Schizosaccharomyces pombe: one gene and its partners. The protein of the gene in region 1 interacts with the protein of each later gene in a pairwise test. Each region holds a gene or a part of one and is shown in the gene's direction. Other genes may lie near its edges. The genes, in order: ypp1, ntu1, hal3 and tea3.

Region 1 (6,045 bases):
TTGTGGTTTTCTTATACGGAAAAGATACAGAACAATCCACGGCTAAAGGAGATCCTCATCCAACAACCCGAGAAAGTCTATCATTTGGATGAACGGATACTCATCCAAAACTTTCAAGAATTGTGTTTTTTTTGCTTCTATCTTCAATGCCCTGTATCGAACTGAATTGCGATTGTCATTAATTTGCCTTGCTATGCCATACCAAGCCAAGCTATTTTAAGCAAACGGTTTAGTTGGACTCCAATAATAAATGCTTTACAAAAAAGAAATGCGATTGATAAACTAGAACACTCTCCAATGTATGTCTACCAATTCCTAAATACTTTCAATTCGCAACATTCTTATGGCCTTTGTGGTCGCTTCAATTCGGCTTTGAAAACCGGGTTAAAAGGCATCGCATAAATTTGTATCTTCCAAAACAGTTGATTTTATAAAAAGCTCATAAATAATTTCTCAGCGCGAGCAAATGGTAATTTCTTTGAAATCAGCGCCTTTGGAATTTTCATTTTACGCCTTATTGACATTCCCATCGATATACGTAACATGTTACTCCATGATACATGGTTTCAGCTGATGCCAAGGCATCGTTGCGTAAGCATTACGAAGGAATATGATGATGGAAGGAGGCATGGGTTGGGCAGTTTCTGCAGTCTGCTAAATTTAAATAGTCTGCCTATATATATTAAATCTCTCGCACTTTTATGACCTTCCCTCTCCCATACATATTTGCAAGTTTGCGTATAACGTTGCTTTCTAACACAATTTACTTTTAATCCACTTCAAACACTTGGTTTAGCTTTTAAAGAAAAGCTTAGGATTTTGCTACTGTTTGTTACGAGGAATTGTTGCAGAAGAATTCAATTTTTTTAAGTCGTATTTACCAACGATTTTATTCAATTTAAAAAGTTTGACTTTCATAGGCTGTTGCTTAGTTTATCGTCAATTCCTTGCGTATTGCCGGAACCTAGTTAATATCTAAAAAAACACAAACAAACCAAATTCCAAAAGTGGTTGAAAATTGCCGCTTCGCTACTTTTACTATCTCCGGGAAAGAAGACCTGTAATTTAATTTTTTCTTCTTCTTCCAATTCGTACTATTAATATTACCGCTAGTTTCTTCTTATTCTTTCGCCTACTACTTAATTGTTCAATATGCAAATTACTCGTGAGTCAAAATACATTATTGGGCTCGTCTTAGCCTTGGGTGTAAGCTTTGCTACCCTTTTGGCTCATTTGTTTACCAAACCATCTCTTGAATGGGTTTACAATCACCATGCCACTCCATTTTTCGCCAACAAGTTCATGCTTGGTGGCTACCTCTTGGTCGAATACTTGTCTTTCCTTTTGATGATTGTGCCCCTTTTAATGCTTGGTGATCAGGTAAACGATTTTACCTTCTCCATTATTCACACATCTATCTGGTACAATGTATTTGTCGTGTTTACCGTCTGGGCATTTACCCGTGAGAAGCTGTACTGGACTGCATTCTTTTCCTTGTGTCTATTCTCATCTTCTTTCACCATGTACGGCCAATCGCTTCGCTTGAGAAATGGTTTTGTTGAGATGATTAGCATGAAGTTGCCCTCGAAACTTGTTTTTGGCAAGTCTCTTTGGTTCGTTGTTTATGCCTTCTCTGCCGCTTTACACTGCACCGGCATTGGTTGCCGCGTCTTTTCTAATGTGTTTATCTGGTTCTTTGCCGCCATGTATCTTGTTCCTATTTTAGGATTCCATGACTGGGCTCTTTCCCTCGTCAGCGCATACCTTTTCCTTTCAATCGGTATTGGACAAATGTTTATTCACCTCTTTGCCTTGCAACACATTTTCGCCTTTATCATTGCTGGTCTCATGACCCTTTTCGCTGCTCTTCTCTTCCTCCTTCCCTACAGACAGAGACGCGCTGCTTTAACAGGCGAGAGTGCTCCTTTGCTTCAGGACAACAACGCGGGACCCGCAGTTTAAACTCTTGTAGTCTTCTGCATGTTGTTGCTCCGTTCTACTAAATAGTATGATAATGAATTTGCTTAATTGTATTATGTTACACTTAACTTTAGTATAAAAATTTAATTTTTCTCCCATAAATCTTTCGACTCAAAATTCAGGTGGATAGCAGATTAAAGCATAGTTTTGACGATCAACTTCATCATGGTTAATAGCACCCTTCTTAGTATAAAGTTGCTTCGTGTGCTAACTTTACAAGCACTTCATTGACGAAGACATCCAGCTTATTCTTATATGGATCACGAAAGTGTCATCATATTCAACTATTCGTACTCTGGCTAACTTGTACGCTAATTATTTAATCTTATTTGCTTCATGTATTTATTAAAGAACCCTTAAAGCAAAAAACTTGGTATACACTACTTTTTCTTTACTTAGCTCAATATCTCAATTACTTTCTCATGCCGACGGTTACGCACCTCCATTCAACCTTGGCCTACTCCATATATCGAACCATCAAAATTCCTTCATCTTGGTATTCTTGAGGCGTTAAATACCTTCTTTAAACCTTTTCTTTTTACAATTCCTTCGTTTTTCTTGTTACTGTAAATATATATCAATTTATTTAAAGTTTGCGTTCAAAGTTCTATAAACGAATTTTACGTTCCAACTACTGCGTTTGACCTTTTTTTTCTCTTTATATATACAAATACCAAGTTATAAAAAAATTCATGTTTTCCGTACGTCTAAACTATGAGTTTTCATACTGACTGATATAGGCTAAAGCAAAAACCTATGAACTAAAACTAGAACAAACAAGATGTAATGGAGATTGGCAGGCAATTCCTGAGGTTGCTAGAAAATTGCATAAGCATAACTCTTCAAAGTCCTGTGAGTGATTTACAGTCAAAGTTTTCCACTTGTCATCTAGACTAACCTTTTTTTAGTCGTTTGTGAATTAGCAAAAATTGAAGCTTCTCTTAAATCAGCATTAACTGCTGAACTAAAAAATATTGCAAACGTTTTGGAGCCTAAATTAATAGATAATCAGTATTCCCTAATTCCGGCTTTACCCAGTGCTCGTACCGACCCTCTTCTAAGTCAATTAAACTCATTGAACATTCAAAATGCCACAGAAGATGAGAAGCTTCAGGAGACATCCATACGCTTGTTATTATACATTGTACAGCGTAAATTTCCCGAAGCCGTAGATTTAGATTGGTCTCCTCAAGGAATTCCGTGGACTGAAACTTCCACTGGTATATGCATCCTACAAGCAACAGTGCTATCATCGCTAGCTCAATATGCTCAAGCTAACGATGAAGTTGCATATCAATACGTTCGTTCGGCCATTGGCTTAATTCAAAATGCCAATATTGGCAAGAAGCCTTTACCGGAACTTACAAGATGGTGCGATCTTGCATATTCATTGTATGCTCAAATGTCTGTAAGCGCTTGTTCGAGTCAATTAGAAAGAGCTAATATACTTACTACATGCTTGAGCTATTTTACCGAGCATAAGTCCGTGAATTTGCTTTATAAACTAGTTACCAGCAGACAAGCTATTAAATATTTGGAACATATTTTAAGAACTAATACAAATGGATCAAAAATTTTTACTAAAAGTCCGGTTAAAAATCTTTATTTAAATTGGCCTCAACTTGTCCTCGATTATGGGTCTTTGTTATGTAACTTTACCTCTTTTCCTAAAGCTGGTGATCAAAACATGTTCGCCGTTGAATTTATTGAACTTGCAACATCAATATGGATAAACACAGAGAAATCTTACGATATCACTGTCAGCTTGATTCGAATGCTTTATCAGCTTACTGGAAAATGCTTCCAAGCACAACAAATTTTTCGTTCTTTGGTATTTTTTTTAAGGCATATTGAGGAATTTGAAGAAGCTAGCGAGGCTTTTGAAATTTACAAGTTTCTATGCGTAAAATCTCACGAACGGTTAGCAAGAAAAAATTCAGATGTCGCTGGCTCTTTTTCTGATATCAAACCAGTGTTTGTTGATGAACCGAAAAGTATTATTGAAGTATGCTCCGTTATGATGACCGTTTATGCGCAATATCTTCGTAATTTGAAAAAAGTTTCTGAAATACTTGATTATATTACAAAAATTGCTTCTGATTATGATTTACTGAAACGTGACGATATTGCTCCTTTAATTTATCATACAGAAGGAGTTGCTTATTCTTTCATGTATTATCAAGCTAACAACCCTTCGTTAAGGGAAAGATATCACCAGAAGAGCGTCCAATCTTACCAGAAATGTCTAGAAAAGCAACCAACCAATACAAATGCACTTTTCCATTTGGCTATGCAATATTCGGAGAGACGTGCCATTACTGATGCAATGCAAATTGTTCGGCGACTTCTTGAGGTGAACCCTAAGTACAGTATTGTATCTTGGCATCTTTTGGTTTTGTGTGTGTCTTGTTCTGAACAATACGCAGCAGGAATTAAGCTGATCGATAGTGTATTTGAAACTTGGGGCATTAATCATGTCAATGAAGATGGCACTATTGAGATTAGTTTGACAAATTTGACATTTAATGACCGCTGCGCTTTGGTCGATTTATTGATTACGAAACTAGCTCTTTTTGAAGCCGAAAAAGGCGTAGAAGCTACTCTGGATATCCAGGATGAAATATTTACATTATTTGCTAGTATTTTTGATTTGAATGAGTACAGGATATCAAAGGAAGGATCGTCAGATGAATTATCAACGCTTTTAGAACGATCGACTATTCAATCCATTAAATCATCCAAGAAAATCTCTAAAGATGTGGAAAATGAAAAAGGAAGTATTCTTGGGTTTTCCAGGAAATCATCGCTTAAGAGATCTACTGTTTTAAGCAAAAAATCCCACTCTTCCTATAAAGAAAATTTTCAGTTACGTCGTGGTAAAACCGTATCATATCTCAATCAGAAGCTTTGGCTTACCGCTGCATCTCTTTTCCTTAAAAGTGGAAATGATGATCAAGCACGAAGCGCTTTACTAGAAGCTAAAAAAATAGACCATGAATGTGCTTGGGTGTACTATTTAAATGGTTTATCTTTACTACAACAGGGAAAAGAAGTTGAAGGGTATGAGCAACTTGACGTTGCTCATTATTTAGACCCGGAGGATCCCTTAATTTCGACGGCCCTTGCAAAGTGTCTTTTACAAGGTGGCTATGGGCCTATGCATTCTCGTAGAAATAGAGCAGATGCTATTTTATCGAGCTGTACTTTGCAGTATGGCTGGGATCTACCAGAAGCTTGGTATTATACTGCAGAAATATTTCGTCAACTCGGTGATTTAAAACAAGCTGCGTTTTCGTATGATTATTGCATCCAGCTAGCTGATACAAACCCTGTACGCCGATGGAGTAACTTGCAGCCTAGGTTTATGAACGTTTAAACTGTCTACATTTTTTGGACTTTTATTATTTATAAATTGAATTTACAAACTTTAAGGCACTTTCAATAGTAATTTATATGTTTCCTTTGTAGTGATTGTAACTTCAATATGAACTCACATAATAGACATAAATAGATAAATGTTATTTATGACATTGTGTTAAATTAATAACGAAGCAATTGCACCTTGAATCAGTATCTATAACAGTCTTCTTTCCAAATCACCAACAAACAAATAGCATTAGATAATTGCACCGAAAATAACGATTCAAGGACATTTCAAAATTAGCGATTATTTGGTCTGTATTTGCAGCGTCAAAAAACTAAGAGCTTTCAGGAGTGTTGTCTATAACATCTTTGGAAGATTCAGTATAGGCAGAGGATCTTGAATAATATTGATCCAAAATCTTCTTAGGAATACGAGTTAACATCTCACGAGGGAAGATGCGAAGGAGGGACCAAGCCAAATCCAGTGTTTCAAAAATAGTACGATTCTCGTAAGCACCTTGACTAATGAAAGTCTTTTCAAATTTACCCAAAAATTCAAGAGCAAGGCGATCTTCTTGAGAAAGGGCTTCCTCGCCAACTACTGATTTCATGGAAGCAGCATCACGACCGATGGCATACATTGCATACAGCTGGTTAGAAACATCACCATGATCATTTCTAGTCATTCCTTCACCAATGGCA
Region 2 (6,907 bases), on another chromosome or scaffold:
GAAATTTCAGACTTTATAGCATCCTCCTTTATAGTGCTTTCGTCAGTTTGCTTTTGCTCAGCTGCATTGGGTAGTACGAACATCATTTGTAAACCCGCTACTTCGAGTATAGATCTAGTAGATAATTAGTAAGACGAAAAAGAAATAAAAAAAAATAATTGGCATAATTTCCTGCATTTATTTGAACTAGGACGGAAATAATTATTTTCTTGATAATTTGACAAATCCTTAACGCGCATTTATAAAATAACCAAACATTCGTTTAAAATTGACAAATAACACGAGAAAACCATAGAACTTATGAAAGAGTAAAGCATAAATTATGCGCTGCTGAAACCATCAATATTCCGTCCTGTCGCAAATCACGACGAACCAACACTATTCTAGTAAATGATTTTTAACATACCCACTTGTAAGCTTGACTGTTTCCCCATTCTTGAATAACTTGCCATCTACTTTAATGCCATTTCGACCGTAAACTGAGCAATTCCATGTTTGGTCATCCAAATCATATTCCACAACAGCGTGTTTTCGACTCACAACTTTAGAAGGACCAAAATTCATATCAATTACTTCTAAATCTTCATTTTTCCCCTTTGGTGAAGGATTTGCTGGTTCGCGACCAAGTATAATTCGAATTTTCTTAACATAATAAGTCCATGTACTTCCAGCGAATTTCGCATAAGCTTGTATTTCTCCAGAGTGTCTTTCCGCATTTTTACTGTTCGAATAATCATCGACCACTCTCATTTCGTGAGGTGGAACGGACAACTTCGCAATTTGGGATTCCAGGCGACCATTCAATACAATGTTACGATCTGTGTCTACATCCATTTGCTTTTTGTAATCTAACTGTTCTTTTCTCTCCTCGTCATCTGATATATGCTCAGACTTGCTTTCGAGTCTGCGAACAGTCATTTTTCCTTTCTACAGCAATTGTGCTGTTGGTGTGTGTTTATTTACACTCGTTTGTTGTTGTCAACATTCGTTTACCTTCCGTTGCCAGCGCTTCACGGTATAACTAATATTGACCATCATTTTAGATACATAGAAATTAAAATATACATTTTTCTAAATATTTGTACATTTTTTATTTTTGTCAACAATGCGTCTTTGTTATCGTTGCTATTTATATTTTTGTAAACAATCAAGATACCGGATCTTCGATATACTTTTTTAAATACTAAGCAGTTAAAAAAATCCTCTTAATATATTGGCGTAGGATTAACTTATAAAAAAAAAAAACTCAAACAATCATAACTCTGCAAGACTTGTAATAATTTTAGCTTTTCAGCACTCAGTGTTTTTTGCACATGTAATGGCGTCTAACGGTCGCGTGCATATCCTAGTAATTACCCTATTATTTAAAACGTGTCTACTGAAGATTTATTTTGAGAACTGTACAAGCTATTACATGAATACACTAAGAGTATTAATTGTGTTTTATGGAAATTCCGAATCATTATTTCGCTTTCAATCAACCGATTTTGTGTGGCTGCAATATTAACGCTCAACTGTTTACTCACGTTATTTTCCATATTTTTACTAACTACGCGATTCGCGAAGTCTCTGTAGGATACGTAATATTATTTGGTGAGTTCGTAGCGCACTATAATGTGTGGTACACAACAGAAAGTATTATGCAATATACAGTTACCGAACATAACTCAGGCACGGAGAGACTTTGATATTATAATAAATAATATGTGGCTTACATGAACAGACAAACTTGATCTTGAATGATCTTTATTTCCCATACTTTTTTCTTCAGTAATATTGAAAATAGTCAATAAACGGCTTGATGGTTCCAGCTTCAGGACTCATTGGAGAACTCACACGTGAAGATGTCAGGCTTATAACGATATTTAACATACCGCAACAAAAACATTTAGCATGGTATAATCTCATTGCTTCACCTACACATGTATGCTAACGTGAAGTAACGAGTAATTACTATTTAGCGGATGTATACGATCGCTGGCACACACTCTCGTAGGTTTAACCTGTCGCGTATATCATCCATAATCGCTTCGCAGCGATCACCATTTATTTATTTATTTACCTATCTAAAGCACCAAATTCCTTTAGTTTCAAAGCGTTAAATTTTGAATGATAAACTGCATTTTTGCTCACTTGCGTTAACTTTCGGTTGTAAAAACCGGTAACAACGATTCGATAAATACAAATTAAAAGACCTGTTCTCCCTCAAGTTTGAAGTTAGCAGGCTTCAACATAGTTTATTGATAGGCTGCTGAATGTCTTCCGGCGATGTATCTCGTAGACAGCGTGTTTCTAGAGCATGTGATGAATGTCACAGGAGAAAGATCAAATGTGATCAGAGAAGGGTAAGATGTCAATTTCTTTGCTCTATTTATGTTTTGCATAATTTTATTATTTGAGTTGGGAACTGAGAACTCACTTCACCCAGTTACCGCTTTCTCTGAAGTTGATTGTAGCTTGATTGATTTCAGTTCAGCTAGAGAGCATGCGGATAACCTTTGTCGTTAATTTATTATTTTTTTGGCTTTTATTGCTCTTTTTCTATCTTATTTGCATTAATTTGGATGAGCGATTAGAAATAAATATAAATTTCTGTTCTTTACTAACTTTTTCAGCCTTGCTCGAATTGCATAGCATATAACTATGGTAAGTGCCTACAATTTAGATGAGATTATTTTCTTCAAGTTTAGTCGCTTTAAAATTTATTTCAAGCCTCTATTATAATTGGATGGAGTTTTCTAACTTTGTTGAAGAATGTACTTATGGTCAACCTTTTAAGCGATTACGGCATGCTCCTGAGAAGTATATAGAATTTTTGGAGCTTCGATTGAAATATCTGAGGGGACTGGCTGAAGAAAGCGATCCAAATTTAAAGTTGCCATCATTTCTGGCTCCTCCAAATGACAAAGATTCTCCTGTGAACCAATCTCCTTGGAAACGCTCTGATTCCTCTAAAAGAAGCTCGTCACAGGACGAGTTTGAAAGCTTATTCGACCGGTATGGACAATTGAGTTTAAAAGATGATGGGAAAGCCGACTTTCGTGGAAGTTCCTCTGGCTTTGTCTTTATGAAAAATATACATCAAAACATTGCGAGGAATTCTACGGTTCCCAATCCTGTCCAAGAATCTAATTCATCTTCTTCTCAGCCAGATCCTTTATCTTTTCCGTATCTTCCACCCACCCCTGCCGAAGATGAACATAAAAAACCGCCTCTCAAAATTCAGCTACCTCCATATGAGGAGGCTCTTTCTATTGTTAGCCAATTTTTTATGAATGACCATTTTTTGGTACATATTCATCATCCTGCATCTTTCTTTGAGAAGATGCATATGTATTACAAAACTGGCAAGACTGATAACAATTTTCATTTTTTACTTGTCGCTACATTGTGCTTGGGTTACACCTATATGCCCGATGAATCTCCTAGTGCTAACTATCCTTATCATGAAGCTTACGAGTATTACTATTACATTCGGTCTTCATTTTCATGGGAAGATAGTTATACGATTGAAGTTGTGCAAATTTTATTGTCTGTTGCGCTTTTTGCTTTGTTCAGTTCCCGACTTTCTCAAGCTTATACGTTCACGAATAATGCGTTATTGTGTTGCCACGAATTGGGATTGCACAAGGATTTTTCAGACGTTCTCACATCTCATGAATCTCGGTTATCCAAACGGGTATTTTATTCTGTGTACGTTTTGGCTTGTTACACCAGTACAATTGTTGGTCTTCCTCTCAGTATTGAGGACGTTGATATTGATCAATCGTTACCCAATTCTTTTGATTTCACATTAGAAAATGACCAGGTTCCTCCACGATTAATAGCATCAGAATGCACTAGCTTGGAAGTTTTTATACAACACATAACGCTTTCTCGTATTTTAAGTCATTTTGTAAGGAAAGTGTATCCAGTCAAATCGCCCTCTGACTCACACTGTAAAGTTTCATTACCAGCTGTTCGTGATCATGAAGAAAAACTTACATATTGGTGGAAAAACTTACCTTCTTATTTAAAAATGAGCGAAGTTCCAAAATTTTCACCCAAATGGATCCAAGCAATAATACTGGAATTGAAATTCAGGCAAATAGAACTCATTTTCTATCGCCCTTTTATTCACAGTATTAGTACACCAATTGATAATCAGAATGGGTCGCCAATGAAACCTGCAAATTTTGCTTTAAAGTGTGCACAATCTGCGGAGCGTGTTGTTTTTTTGTTACAGGAATTGGCCAAATCTCCAAATACTCCCAAACTGTTTTTCAATTTGTATTCTGGATACTACGCGTTAATGACCTTGACATATTGTGCTACTTTGACGAAGGACGATGCCAATAAATCTAATAATTTCATAACTAAGGCAAGATTAGGATTTCATTGTCTACAAATGATATACCGCGAATCCACTTACTATAGTACAATAATGGAGGCAATCAAGAACTTGCTAATTGCGTATGATATGAACTCATCTGGTACTGAAAATTTGGATGCGACCCCGGATGTTACAGGACAACTACCAAACAACTTTTCGCAGAGAACTAGTAATATACCTAGAGAGTTTCCGCAAGCACAAATATTTTATTCAGATGCTCCTTACCCAGGTTACTATAATCCTGCCCAGTTTCAAAATGCACCAACAAATTTCCCTATGCCTACGTATGGTGGGCGTACACAGGATCAATCTTATCCTAGACAAAACGGATATCCTTCCTATTCTGATGGTAATGTATACCCTCATGATAGGGTTATGATTAATTATGGTTCTTCAATGCCAACAGCGAATGGTTTTTATGTTCCGAACACCTATTCTCCAGTACCTTTCCCGTATAATACTTCATACCCTCCATACATGAGTCCAACTTCGAATATGCCTCAGGCTTTCCAAGCATATTCACAGTATCCTTACCAGCACCCGCCTTTTCCCTTGTCAGAACAAATGCTACCACTGCCTACTTCAGGGGTTATGATGGCACCTGGAGCTGCAAAATCTGGCATGCCGTATCCCTTCATTCAACCACCTTCCATGACTAACCAAGTTGCTTATCCTACTGTCCGAGATGGTTCTAATAATTCTCCTGACCATCCAAGTTCCTCAAACTCTAAAAGAACCGAGTGAGCGATCAATGTTGTTAAGCATAGAAACTCACTTTTGTTTTCAAAATTTTTTTTTCTGCAATAATTCTTGCTTCACTTTTTATCTTTAATAAGGGTTCTAGCTCCAACTTTTAGGGTTTGCTCATGAGAAAAAACATTGACATTTTTAAAAAACTTATTTTTTGTTCCTTTTAATTAAGTGATATTTTGTTTGGTTGATGATTAGCTTTTTATGTTTATTGAATAATAGAACGATTGAATATCTAGATTATCTGTCTTCCTAGATGTTTGTGATAGATTTGCTTTTTGATCTTTTGATCAAGCTTAGAGAGTTAGCCTACTGCTTCATGTCCATTAGCTAGTGATATTTACGCGCATTATTATCAGCAATGAATAACCAAGTAGTGTTAAAAGCTAAAAATTTTGGAGTAAAGTTACGTTGAAGTTCTACATTATAATGGATTACTGCAAAGCAATTGATGAACTAAAAACTTTAATAGTGTGCATTTTCTTTCACGATGGAATGTATAATTACTAAAATGACAATTAGCTGTTTATTTTGTAAGCAACTGCAAACCCAACTGTGGAACGTATTGTTGAGTACCTTTGGCATCTAGGCTAAAAAAATGATCCCTATAAAAATCTTCTAAATAAAAGCTCTGCGAAAAAAATGGTATCGAGATCTGATGCTTACACTGTATTTTAGACGTTGAAGAATTTAAATAATTAAGCCTGCACACTCAATATTTACCACCACACAACGTTGACACCGCCTTTGCATTCATAAAAATGTTTGCAGTAAAATATTAGTAGTCTCATCGATTCAATTGAAGCATAATCCCAGCTTAAAAGTTCGATGGTTATCAGGTTAATACTGAATGAAACCTTTAGTTTGTGCGTATAATTTTTTATGGTGAATTGTATTTTATAGAAATATCCAACTTTCTACTACAGAAGAAATACCGTAATTAGGTAAATTATGGTTGGGAAATCTAAAAATAGGGCCCACAAAAATATTCGAGCTAGATCTTGTCTGAGATGCAGGCGCCGAAAAGTCAAATGTGACCGCCAATATCCTTGTTCTCGATGTAAAGAGAGTGAAGAATCATGTACATATGGAGTAAACGAGCAAGCAGTCCAACTTCTTGAAGAACCTTTAAGCCGACCAATTACTAGAGAAACAGATAGTTCTGCTCATCAAGAGACTCGGACGCGTTTGGAAGAAAACAACCTCCCTAAAACCCAGAAGTTTGGATTCGTAGACTGGAAAACAATTTTGAAATCTTCGGCTGAATTTCAAGGTATTGTTCAGAGAGATCCAGAATCACGTTTAAGAGAAGCTTTAGAAACGGATCCTAAATTGAAAAAACGATTAGAATGTATTTTAGAAACTATCCCTCCTTGGGATGTATGCGAAAGCCTTTTAAAAGTTTATGCTAATACTTTTAATGTAACAAATTATATTTTAGATTTTGAGCAAGCTGATAAATTGTTATCTGATCTGAAAAATTCTAACCATGTTTTCGCGACTTCTATTATTTTAATAGTTACAGCAATTGCGGTAGCACTTTCGTTAGAATCCTTTCCTTCAAATATTGAAAGATACTTTTCGGCTGTTAATCATAGCGCCATTGAACTATCGGATGCATTAAATTCAAAAATTGATGACTTTTTAAATGAGGAGGTAATATTTCGACTATGGAGAAATATTGACAGAATTCGACTGCATGCTATAAGGGCGCAACTTTGCATGCGAAACCAGTTTCGAAGTATGAACACTGATCTATGTTATGCAATTCATTACGCATGTTTT
Region 3 (5,296 bases), 820 kb from region 1:
AGGCAACACTTAAGCCTACTGATTTCACTAGAGAAGATATAGTTTTGACAAGGATGTAAGGGGTACCTCTGCTTTCTGTGAACATATAGTCGACTACGTCGGGCAATCCAGATGCACCAAATACATAAAGACCCACGAAAAAGGCACCTTTGAGTGTCACAGTGCCTGTAAGTTGCAACAATGCAGCGATCGAGTACGACTGAACTGCTGTACTAAGGAAATTGCTAACATAAGTTGTAGCAACCTTCTTGGTTTTACTTCCAGCGTCATATTCGACGTGAGGTGCAGTGCTCATTGCCCTTTTCCAAATATCGCCCATTAGGGGTCCATAAACGAGGAAAGAAGCAGCATGGTCGAAGGCAATCCCCAAGAGAATTGCACTAGGGCGTACATACGGCATGTGAGTGTAGGATGGCATTTCTTGTATTAATATTTAGTTTGAGTTAGAACAAGATTAATATGAATGTGAATATTTTGTAAAATAAATGTTTTGTAATTAAAGGATTTAAGGGCGCTACCACTAAATATATAGTATACTCAAGGTCCAATTATGGATTTAGGTACAGATTAATTTGGGGCGTCACTTTGACGTGTCGATGAAGTATGATAATTGGGAAATACTGCTTAGCCTGACTTGACTTGTTTTAAGTCGCTATTTCGCTATTTACATAGTGATATCTACATCATTTTCCTAAACTTTTGGTGGAGCAATATCTCATACTGTTCGGATGCTGTGCCAAGTCTTGCATAAAGAAATCAGTGAAGTCGATAAATATAAGATTTGGAGTGCAGCGATGGTAACAACTAGTGATTAAAAATAGAAATTTACTACAATAATTTTCGCATGTTTTACATTAAAAAGCCCTCACAGAAGAATCAAAGTTGGATTGAAATTCCAGCACTAAAACAATGTAGCTTAGAAATTTTGTTTGCTGGCCCACATTTGATATATTGCAAGCTTGATCTTACGCAGTAAACACTTTTAGGGTAGCTATCGGTTGTTCACACTATTGCGAACAGTGCGTTGAACGACATTACAGCAGCAAGTAAACCTAACCTAGAGGAATAAGAAACAGTCACATTTGTACAACAAGGGTTTAGCAGAGAAACTTTATGCTGTCGAGTTCCTAATCACCACCATCTAACCATCACTTATAAAAGTATCAAAAAATGGTGAACATTCCCAAGACCCGTAAGACTTACTGTCCTGGTAAGAACTGCCGCAAGCACACTGTCCACAGAGTCACCCAATACAAGAAGGGACCTGATTCCAAGCTTGCTCAGGGTAAGCGTCGTTATGACCGCAAGCAAAGTGGTTTTGGTGGTCAAACTAAGCCCGTTTTCCACAAGAAGGCTAAGGTTACCAAGAAGGTTGTCCTTCGTTTGGAATGCGTCTCTTGCAAATACAAGAATCAATTGGTTTTGAAGCGTTGCAAGCATTTCGAGCTTGGTGGTGAAAAGAAGACTAAGGTATGTCGAAGAATGCTGATAACGAGTGGATTGGATTTAGACGAATTTGTAAAAGAGTTTTTGCCGTGGTTGAATACCTCTCAAATCCAGAAAAAAAATTTTGCAAAGCGCTTTTATGAATTGTCTTTTGTTGAGTTTCATCCTTATTATCGATCATTTTCTTTATTTCATCTACTAACAATCATTTTAGGGTGCTGCTATCCAATTCTAAGTGTTTTAGCAAATACAATTTTCTTCTTTTACGGTGATCCTAAAAGCAATTCAAAGTAGTGTTTCATTTGTATTGTATAAATAATGACATGATTCCGATAGAGTAGCACACAAAGTGATGAGTTGTCATCAATTAGCAGTTCGCTAACGCTAAGGTCTGTTCTCAATATTGGAGCAATCTTTTTCGAGTGTTTCTAGTTCCATCGGTTTGAGTCAGAGCTTTTCAAGACTTGTATTACTGCTTGAGTAGAAGACAGGTGTTGTGATTTCGGAAAATAACCCATCACATTTGTCAGCATGTTAACTAAGATAAAAGTAATCAAACAAGTACAGCGTAAAATAGCGAGAGTACTAAAGCATCAAATATGCTTTCAAGTATTGCAAAAAAATTTTCTTTAAATTATCCATGCTTACGGGTCTTCTAAGGTTTAGGAGACTATGCCATTTGCCGAATTATGGATATATTAAGTAACTAATTGCTAATAGTGAGAGTGTAGTGCATCCTTGCATAACGGCACTTGGATTTCACACTGCAGGCATAATAAATAATTACTTTTTTTTGGTACTAAAGCAACGTACGTTCTTTGTTTTTCTGCGTACGACGTGTACAATTCCCTTGCAAAACTAAGGTTCGCTTGTTCAATTGCTAAATTTGTTTTTGTGGACGACCATTATAACGCGCTTCAATGAGTTTATAAAAGTTTCATTAAATTGCAGTACCAGATAAATCGATATCTAACCTTCTCCCTGCATCTATAATCTCTAGCTTCACCAACATTAAGGCCCGTCAATTACTTTCGTTTCGTTGGCCAATATGTCACAACCTTTGCATGCCAGGTTTGCTACCAGGGCTGTAAAAAATCCCATGATCCTTGAGAAAGAGCGACAACTTACGGATTCTAAATATCATATTTTGGTCGCTGCAACGGGTTCGGTTGCGGCGATAAAATTGACATTAATCGTTAAATCCCTACTGACATACAAGGGCGTCGACGTTCAAGTCGTTTTAACGGATCCGGCTCGTAACTTTGTTGAGAAAGAGGACTTAACGGCTTTGGGTGTCAATGTTTATAACAATGCGGATGATTGGAAAAATTGGGACGGACTCGAATGTCCTATCACACATATTGAGCTACGTCGATGGGCACATCTTTTGTTAATTGCCCCTTTAAGTGCAAATACTATGGCCAAAATGGCAAATGGTCTCTGTGACAATTTACTTACCTCTCTTATACGTGCCTGGGCCCCTTTAAAACCAATTCTCTTGGCTCCCGCAATGAATACCTTGATGTGGACTAATCCTATAACTCAGGAACATTTGAGCGCTATTAGCAGAATATACAAGAATAGTGAATTTATCATGCCAATCGAGAAAGTGCTTGCCTGTGGTGATATTGGCATGGGCGGTATGGCCGAATGGAGAAACATTGTAGGCAGAGTTGCCGATAAATTGCAGCTAGAACAAAAGTCTGTCTTGCCGAACGCTGTGAAAAACATCGATGGACAAGATGATGACTCTAGTGAACAAACTGCTGCTTTTGAAGAGTACGATGATGATGATGATGACGATGTTGATGATAATGAACAATCCAACAGTATGATTGAAACTTCTGCAAATGCAGATATTACCCCCAAGGCCTCTCTTTTACCCTCTACTACAGAATCTTCTATAAGCAAAGATCACGAGACCTCCCAAGCTCCATTAGGCTCGGAATCGGTGGATACTCAGGCCTCTGAAAATGTTACTACCAAACCCGAACCTCCTGTACCATTTACTTCCTCCGAATATAGAAATACAGAAGAAGAGCAATACCTAAATTTGATTCGATATATCCTTGAAAATGGCCAGTCGCGGCCCGATCGCACGGGAACTGGTACGAGATCGGTATTTGCTCCTCCACAACTACGCTTTTCTTTAAGGAATAATACTCTACCTCTTCTCACTACAAAGCGTGTTTTTTTACGTGGTGTGCTTGAAGAGTTACTTTGGTTTATTCACGGTGATACTAATGCCAATCATTTAAGTGAAAAAGGGATTCATATATGGGATGGCAATGGCAGTAGAGAATTCCTAGACAGCAGAGGGCTTACTGATCGTAAAGTTGGTGACCTCGGTCCTATATATGGTTTTCAATGGAGACATTTCGGAGCGCAATATGTTGATTGCGATACTGACTATACCAATAAAGGAGTGGATCAGCTGGCTCAGGTTATATCTACCCTCAAATTAAACCCTTATGACCGTCGTATAATTCTTTCAGCTTGGAACCCATTAGCTATTCCTGAAATGGCTTTACCACCTTGCCATATATTTTGCCAGTTTTATGTCAGTGAGCCTTGCAAGCCTGGGGGAAAGCCCCAACTTTCTAGTATGATGTATCAGCGCTCTGCCGACATGGGGCTTGGAGTTCCTTTTAACATTGCTTCTTATTCTCTCTTAACACATATGATAGCTCACATGTGCGGCTATGAAGCTGCCGAATTTGTTCACGTAATGGGTGATTGTCATATATACAATGATCATTTAGAGGCATTACAAACTCAGTTGGAAAGAGTTCCTAAAGCTTTCCCTAAGTTGTTTTTCAAACGTGATGCTAAAGACATAGGGTCTATTGATAGTTTCAGCGTTGATGATTTCGCAGTTGAAGGTTATAATCCTTATGGCCCTATTAAAATGAAAATGAGTGTCTAATTATTAGCCTTTCTTATATACGTTTGCTTCGTTGATGATTTTTGAAGTTGAAACACAATTTCTCTGTAATAGATTTTTTAGTTAATGGATATCAAAAGTTTAATAGCGATTGTATATGTTCATTTATAAAAGTTGCTAAAGCTTATTTAAAAGAAACGACAAGATGTTTAAAAGGATATTATGCTGTTAATTACTAAGACCAGGAGCAAAATTATGCGTAAGTTTTAATGGTCGTTTGTTCTGTAGCATTTTTACCCATTTTTCGACGCTGCCGTTCTTCATAATGCTGCCGACGTAACATAACCCGCTGCTTAATCAAATCAGAACCCAGCTTATCAAATTTATAAAAACTATTATTTGGGGTATTGGAAAGGCTAATGTCAAGCGCTGGTATGCTCACGTCAGTGGAAAATATTGGGTAATATACTTTCGAGATCTGCTCATCAAAACATAACTTTATGTATTTAGAAGATGCAAACAAAGATGCTGGTGGAGGACCAACGAGGATTGAAGATATATATTTGCATTGTAGTAAATTCAAGATACGCTCTAACAGATTAAGCATAGGCTTTTCGAAACATTTCTCATCCGCGAAAATACCTGCCATAATTGGAATACCCGGAAACATTCGAGTACAGAGTTCTAAAGCAGAAATATGCTTCTCTGTAAACAAATCCCAATCACCATCAATGTATATTATGTTCTTTTCGGGATTCAACCTTAGCAAGGTTGTGCCCGAAATAAGGGTTTCTGGCTTCTCAGTGTTATATATAAAAACATCAGTAAAAGGAGTTAGCCCGTCGGAATCAGTTGCAAATCTTCTGAGGAGATCAATTTGGGAAGAAAGTACCGATACAGGTGTAGAATAAATCTCTAAAGGAACCGAACTAAGTAATCGATCTAGGAGCTCGGTAGTGCTCACTC
Region 4 (6,548 bases), 1.3 Mb from region 1:
CGTATCTTGCTTACATAAACTTACCCACAGCACAACACTTTGAATTCCAATTGCCGAGCCAATATCCGGAATTTTATTTAAATATCGGAATTATTTTGTTTTAAATAGTTCATAAACAGTAATTTGTTTGTATTGTCATTATCGCGGGGTTGACTCCTTCATTGACCATTTTGTGTTGAATTCAGCGTTTGCACCGTTACTATGAGCCAAGTGAAAGTCGCGGTGAGAAGTGAGGAAGCAGCTAATTCTTATACGCAAACGTTTGGCATGTCCTGGAGGCAATGGCGTCAAGCATGCTCTGAAGAATATGCGAAACAATGTGAGCGTGAAGTCCTGCACACTGTCGATTTTATTCGGGAAAATGAAAAGGACCCAGAAAGGTTAGTTGAAGTTGTAGATTCCAAAATCTACGATAATGATGGATTGGTACATGAGGTTTGTGTTAGTGATAAAGCAACAGGAAAAGCGAACAAGCGAAGCATTGTTTACATGCATGGGTATGGAGCTGGTCTTGGTTTTTACTTTCGGAACATGGATGGTTTGACTAAGGGTGTGACAAAGGATTTTAATTCTTATTTTGTTGATTGGCTAGGCATGGGAAACTCGTCAAGACCGCCTTTCGATATCAAGGGGCAAACCGCTTCAGAGAAGGTCGAAGAAACAGAGAGGTTTTTCACTGAGTCATTAGAAACATGGAGAATCGGTCATGGTATCGAGAAAATGATCCTTGTGGGCCATAGTATGGGAGGTTATTTGTCTGCTGTCTACGCCATGCAATATCCGGAACGTGTTGAGAAACTCTTACTAGTTAGTCCAGTTGCCATTCCTGAAAACCCTTTTGCAAGCAACGATGATGCGGAAGTTTACAATTCCGTTGCTTCCTCTGCTGTGCATGCTGTTATGGATGAACCTCCTTTAAGTAATGTTACTAATGAGGTTCTGCAAACCCAAGAGGAAACTACAGGTTTAGAGCCTTCCCGGCCAAGCAAGCCAAAGAATCCTCTTCCAAGATTTATCACCTTCTTATGGGAGCAAAATGTTACACCATTTTCTCTACTTCGTTTAAGCGGGCCTTTAGGTCCTAAACTAATGAGTTTTTGGTCTAGCAGAAGGTTTTCAACGCTTCCCCCGGAAACGTTTAGGGCATTACATAATTACTGCTACTCAATATTTCGTCTCAAGGGTTCCAGCGAGTATGCACTTGGCAATTTGCTCGCTCCCGGAGCTTTCGCTAGACGATGTATTATGAATCGCTTGCGCATGTTGAAGTGTCGAACTATATTCATGTATGGAGATAAAGATTGGATGGATGATGTTGCTGGTTTAGAAGCGACAAACAGATTGAAGGAGATGAATATTGAGGCGGAGCACCACATAATTTCAAATGCTGGTCACCATTGCTATCTTGATAACCCTGAAGATTTTAATGAGATTGTACTAAAGGAGATACGAATGAGTTTACGTTCTTTTTCTTCGATTTCAGAGTAAATTTTTATTTTTTATGCCCTTCGCTTAGTGCTTCATTATTTTTATTTATTCTTTCTTGTCCTGCAAACTATCCCATGTGATGCTGTTATAGACCTCATTCATTAATTTATACTACACATTATTCTTTGGATTCCAATTGAACGACTTTTTTTTACCTAACTTTTTATCGGTCCATTTTGAATCGATTTTTATTGCATTGACGCTCATTTGCTTCATTTATCGCAATTTTATTTTTTTGTCCGATTACTTGTCCAGCATGTGTTTTCAAATGTTTTATTTTTAAAATGTGCCTTATAAATCAAATTTTGTAATATTTGTAGGCCATTTACTACAATTAGCTTATAAAGTAAATAACAGTTTTTGTGGTTGTCTATTTTAAATTCTATCCTATAGAGTAATTGGAAAAATACATTTTTCTTGCTCTAAGCTTTTCAAACGTGAAGCATATTTCGTACTTCTAAATTTCAATTCAAACAGAGCATTCAACGGTAATGTATACTATTGCGCTTAAACTTGTATCTACTCTCCCTTCTTTATGTTTAATGAAGATATAAATTATAAACATCATACAGTATTACAAAAATTTATTGTAGGGTATTGCAATTGTATTCGTTGTTCTAAGACTTCTCTACTCTAAGTTGCCGTTTCCTGATGGACTGTGTGTTTCCATTACCCTCCACAAGTTATGCTCTTTTCATATTATTTCGAAAATTTTACTTTTTAATTCTTTTTTAAAACTAAAATATATATTTTTTCTATTTTATTTCTTTTTTAAGCGTAAAAACCGAACCTTTTAAAAAACTCCTTGGATTAAACTTTCGCTTTGATTACCATCTGCAACTGCAAAACCAGTAAGCGATTTTGCAAGGTAAAGATCGCAATACATGGTTCAAAAGGTTTTAAGCCGTCAATCGGATAACTCTCAGGATGTGTCTGCTGAACAGCTTGATGTAGTGGAATCCGGTAGCATTGATCAGCAAAATATACGTGCATGGGTTGTTCGCAAAGTCAAAGAAAATGATAAAAGGACATCTACGAACCAAAGTTTTAAATGGGAAGCTGTAAAACCGGCTTCTTGTCTAGATGCTGCGAATGAAAAATTCATGTACTTACATGGAGGACGAGAAAAATCTGGTATTTCAAACTCTTTGTTTAAGTTGGACCTGGATTCATGCACGGTTTATTCTCACAATAGAGGGGAAGACAATGATTCTCCTGCTCGAGTTGGTCATTCTATCGTTTGTTCTGCTGACACTATTTATCTTTTCGGAGGATGCGACTCAGAAACAGATTCCACATTTGAAGTTGGCGATAATTCATTGTACGCATACAATTTCAAGAGTAATCAATGGAATTTGGTTTCAACACAGTCCCCCTTACCATCGCCTCGCACTGGACATTCTATGTTGTTAGTTGACTCTAAATTATGGATATTTGGGGGTGAATGTCAAGGAAAATATTTGAATGATATACATTTGTTTGATACCAAAGGGGTTGATCGGAGGACGCAATCAGAACTCAAGCAAAAGGCAAATGCAAATAATGTTGAAAAGGCTAATATGGAATTTGATGAGACTGATTGGTCATGGGAAACACCGTTTTTGCATAGCTCATCCCCTCCACCTCGTTCAAATCACTCAGTTACTCTTGTCCAAGGAAAAATATTTGTACATGGAGGGCATAATGATACTGGTCCATTAAGTGATCTTTGGCTTTTTGATTTAGAAACACTTTCATGGACCGAGGTTCGTTCTATAGGAAGATTTCCAGGTCCGCGGGAAGGTCATCAAGCTACTACAATAGATGACACGGTTTACATTTATGGTGGTCGTGATAATAAAGGGTTGATACTCAACGAGCTTTGGGCTTTTAATTATAGTCAACAGCGGTGGTCCTTAGTCTCAAATCCGATCCCTATTTTGCTTTCTGATTCATCTTCATACAAAATTGTTTCAAAAAACAATCATATTTTACTATTATATCTTAATGCACTTGACGCTCCTAAGCAACTGTTATGTTATGAAGCAGATCCCAAAAATTTGTATTGGGATAAGGATAAATTTTCTGATATTCCTGTTCTTCAGCATATTAGCATGAAACCTTCAAATGCTTCAAACCACACGGTTTCTCTTGGTTACCTAAACGACCGTCCTAATCATTCCAAAAAGAATTCTGTGACATCCACCTCGTCTAGTCAATTTAACAATTTTTTGGAGCAAAATCAAAAAGCCGTAAGATCAGCTAGGCATCGGCACTATGCTAGCTTGGATGAACAAGGATTACATTCTTTGAGAAACCTTAGTAAAACCTCTGGAATGAATCATTCAGCAGATTTCTCTCTTCACGAGTTTGGGCAAGCTGACCCCTTTGCTTACGAAATTGAGAAACCTATTGCGTCTCTTCCTTTACCTAATGGAAACGATACTATTTCTAGGTCTTCCGAATCTTCATCTCCAATCAACGAAAGTGAAAGTAATTCTCTGCTTAAACTCCAATCAGATTTTAAGTTTTCTAATTCTGATGATCGTGTAGCTTGGCTTGAGGAGCAACTGTTATATTGTATGCAACAAGGCTATACTCTCAAACCTCCTAACCTGTTTCAACACGTTGATGAAAAATTGAGGCTTGAGAAAAAAGAGCAGCTCAGTTATTTGGAAATACTGAAGGTGATTGAGCAAATGCTTGAATCTAATGAACAAAAGTTTAAAAAGCAAATCGTTAGCCTAGCATCTGAAAACGCAAAATTGGCTGCTCAGAGAGATGCTGCCGTGGAAAATGCAAATTATTCACGTTCACTGATCCAGAAAAAGACAACGGACGAAACTGTTGGATCTTTAATAGAAAAAGTTGGAAAGTTAGAGTACGAAGTTCAAGGGACTCTTGAAGAGGCAACCTCTTATTATCAAAAAAATACTGAACTTCAACAGTTATTGAAGCAAAATGAATCCGCTTCTGAACTCTTAAAATCTCGAAATGAGAAACTTTGTGTAGATTATGATAAACTTCGTAGTGTGTTTGAAGAAGATTCATCAAAAATACTATCTTTACAAAAAGAAAATGAAAACCTACAATCACAGATATTGCAAATTTCAGAAGAGTTAGTCGATTATCGTTCTCGTTGCGAGGCTTTGGAGTATGGAAATTATGAGCTGGAAACGAAGCTAATTGAGATGCATGATCGAGTGGAGATGCAGACAAATGTGATTGAAGCATCCGCTAGTGCTCTTGATGTGTCCAATACTGCCATATTGTCTTTTGAAGATTCGCTCCGTAGAGAAAGGGATGAGAAAAGTACGTTGCAACAGAAGTGCTTAAATTTACAGTACGAATATGAGAATGTTCGGATTGAGTTGGAAAATTTGCAATCTCGTGCGCTAGAGTTGGAGTCAGCCTTAGAACAATCAGTGTCTGATGCTAAATACTCGAAAGCTATAATGCAAAGCGGATTATCAAAGTTATTATCTTCTATTAACGAAAATAAAGATAATCTTAAAGAGTTTTCGAAGTCGAAACAAAAGATCTCCTACTTGGAGTCTCAGCTAGAAGGGCTTCACGAGTTGTTACGTGAGTCCCAGAGACTTTGTGAGGGTCGCACTAAAGAGCTACTAAATTCTCAGCAAAAGCTCTATGATCTAAAGCATTCATATTCCTCTGTAATGACAGAGAAAAGTAAACTTTCTGATCAGGTCAATGATCTTACCGAGCAAGCAAAAATTACTCAGCGTAAGCTCTCTGAGGTACAAATTGCATTGGCTGATTCAAAAATGAATCAACAGTTATCAGGAAAGGACTCTACTGACGTTCATCTTCCTACGGACTTTTCAGCTTCCTCCTCTCCCTTAAGATCATACTTTAACGAAGAGGATTCATTCAATAATGCTAGTGCTGCACATAGTTCAAAAGAATCTGACATACCTTCTGGTGGTGTGTTTACAAAATATCGTAATCATTTTGGTAATTTGATGACATCTGAAGAAACAAAAGCCCCGGATAACAATGATTTACATAAAAGACTTTCTGATGTTATCAACAGTCAGCAAAAATTTTTGTCTTTGTCCCCTCAGGTATCTAAAGATTATTATGATGTTCGCTCAAAACTAAATGATACCGCGGGCTCATTTTCAGGTGAAGAAATGCGTGCAATTGATGATAATTACTATGCCAGTCGTATTAAGCAACTGGAGGATGATTATCAAAAAGCCATAACATATGCCAATTGCTCAGATGAGTCATTTCAGCAGCTTAGTCATTCATTTATGTAACTCTATTCATCAACTAAGGATTTTTTATCTCTTTTTTGGTTTGTACAATTTTCTTAATAATTTTTTGAAGTGGTTTGATTTTTTCTACTTAATCTCAAGTCGTTTGACTACGTATGTAAATTACCACTATATTTAACAATAAAATACGCAATTATTTCTACTGCATTTACATTGACTCATTTATATTTTAAAAAGTAATGAAATTTAATTAACTTTTAAAAAGTAAGAGAAAATTTAAAGTATTAGATTGATGAGGATACTCTCAAGTGCAAATTACTAAACTGGTATTAAATGCTAATTCCTTAACCACGCGAACAAAGCATATGATGAATTACGTAGAAATAATTAAAACAAACAAAGACCTGCAAAAAACCATTAAAGATTCATCCATTTTTTTCAAGGGTCAAATTTGAAGTTTGCTCTGCAGTATGCGAAGACTGCTCAGAGACATTAGTAGGGCCTAGCAGTTCCGTCCAACTCAAAAACGTAGGAGCCGTCCATTGTTTATCAACTTCCAAATTGAGAACTGGATCCGGTAGAAAAGTTTCAGGTGTGAGCAAACTGGGTTGGTTACTAACATAACTTTTGTTTAGACCCGGAACATTATAGAGAGATGATGTTTGGTCAAAAGGTTGGAATGCTTCGTTTGGAGTACTATTACTACCATTTGAGCTTTCTCCTGTAAGCTTAAAGGTAGAAAGCATGTCTCCATGTGACATATCTCCCACCCAGGATTGCCAATTTTGAAAACTATTTTGGAAATCTGCAATCGGATTATTAATGTCTGGGGCATTGCGC

What was found.
Region 2: the proteins of ypp1 (region 1) and ntu1 interact in a two-hybrid assay, tested with the Schizosaccharomyces pombe proteins (one large-scale study listed by BioGRID).
Region 3: the proteins of ypp1 (region 1) and hal3 interact in a two-hybrid assay, tested with the Schizosaccharomyces pombe proteins (one large-scale study listed by BioGRID).
Region 4: the proteins of ypp1 (region 1) and tea3 interact in a two-hybrid assay, tested with the Schizosaccharomyces pombe proteins (one large-scale study listed by BioGRID).

Annotation. Positions count from the first base shown.
Region 1 is NC_003424.3:4,541,402-4,547,446, forward strand, and holds ypp1 (cargo transport protein Ypp1), read left to right. Parts: upstream 1-2,434; 5' UTR 2,435-2,672; coding exon 2,673-2,681; intron 2,682-2,720; coding exon 2,721-2,832; intron 2,833-2,888; coding exon 2,889-5,356; 3' UTR 5,357-5,545; downstream 5,546-6,045. Other genes in the region: SPOM_SPAC637.03 (uncharacterized protein), read left to right, coding at 1,153-1,962; vma2 (V-type ATPase V1 subunit B), read right to left, coding at 5,679-6,045. UniProt on the Schizosaccharomyces pombe protein: Involved in endocytosis.
Region 2 is NC_003423.3:4,241,745-4,248,651, forward strand, and holds ntu1 (regulatory protein ntu1), read left to right. Parts: upstream 1-2,000; 5' UTR 2,001-2,255; coding exon 2,256-2,345; exon of another isoform or gene 2,346-2,413; intron 2,414-2,615; coding exon 2,616-2,646; intron 2,647-2,753; coding exon 2,754-5,116; 3' UTR 5,117-5,682; downstream 5,683-6,907. Other genes in the region: DNA-binding forkhead transcription factor Fkh2, read right to left, coding at 1-114, 407-918; SPOM_SPBC16G5.17 (transcription factor), read left to right, coding at 6,074-6,907.
Region 3 is NC_003424.3:3,721,339-3,726,634, forward strand, and holds hal3 (thymidylate synthase), read left to right. Parts: upstream 1-2,417; 5' UTR 2,418-2,494; coding exon 2,495-4,372; 3' UTR 4,373-4,583; downstream 4,584-5,296. Other genes in the region: SPOM_SPAC15E1.02C (uncharacterized protein), read right to left, coding at 1-418; rpl42 (60S ribosomal protein eL42), read left to right, coding at 1,171-1,470, 1,661-1,681; ect1 (ethanolamine-phosphate cytidylyltransferase), read right to left, coding at 4,584-5,296.
Region 4 is NC_003424.3:3,213,892-3,220,439, reverse strand, and holds tea3 (cell end marker Tea3), read left to right. Parts: upstream 1-2,166; 5' UTR 2,167-2,372; coding exon 2,373-5,750; 3' UTR 5,751-5,927; downstream 5,928-6,548. Other genes in the region: cardiolipin-specific phospholipase Cld1, read left to right, coding at 202-1,488; DNA-binding transcription factor Thi1, read right to left, coding at 6,134-6,548. UniProt on the Schizosaccharomyces pombe protein: Acts as a cell end marker required for efficient new end take-off (NETO), whereby growth is activated at the cell end to generate bipolarity in extending cells. Also required for proper placement of the septum.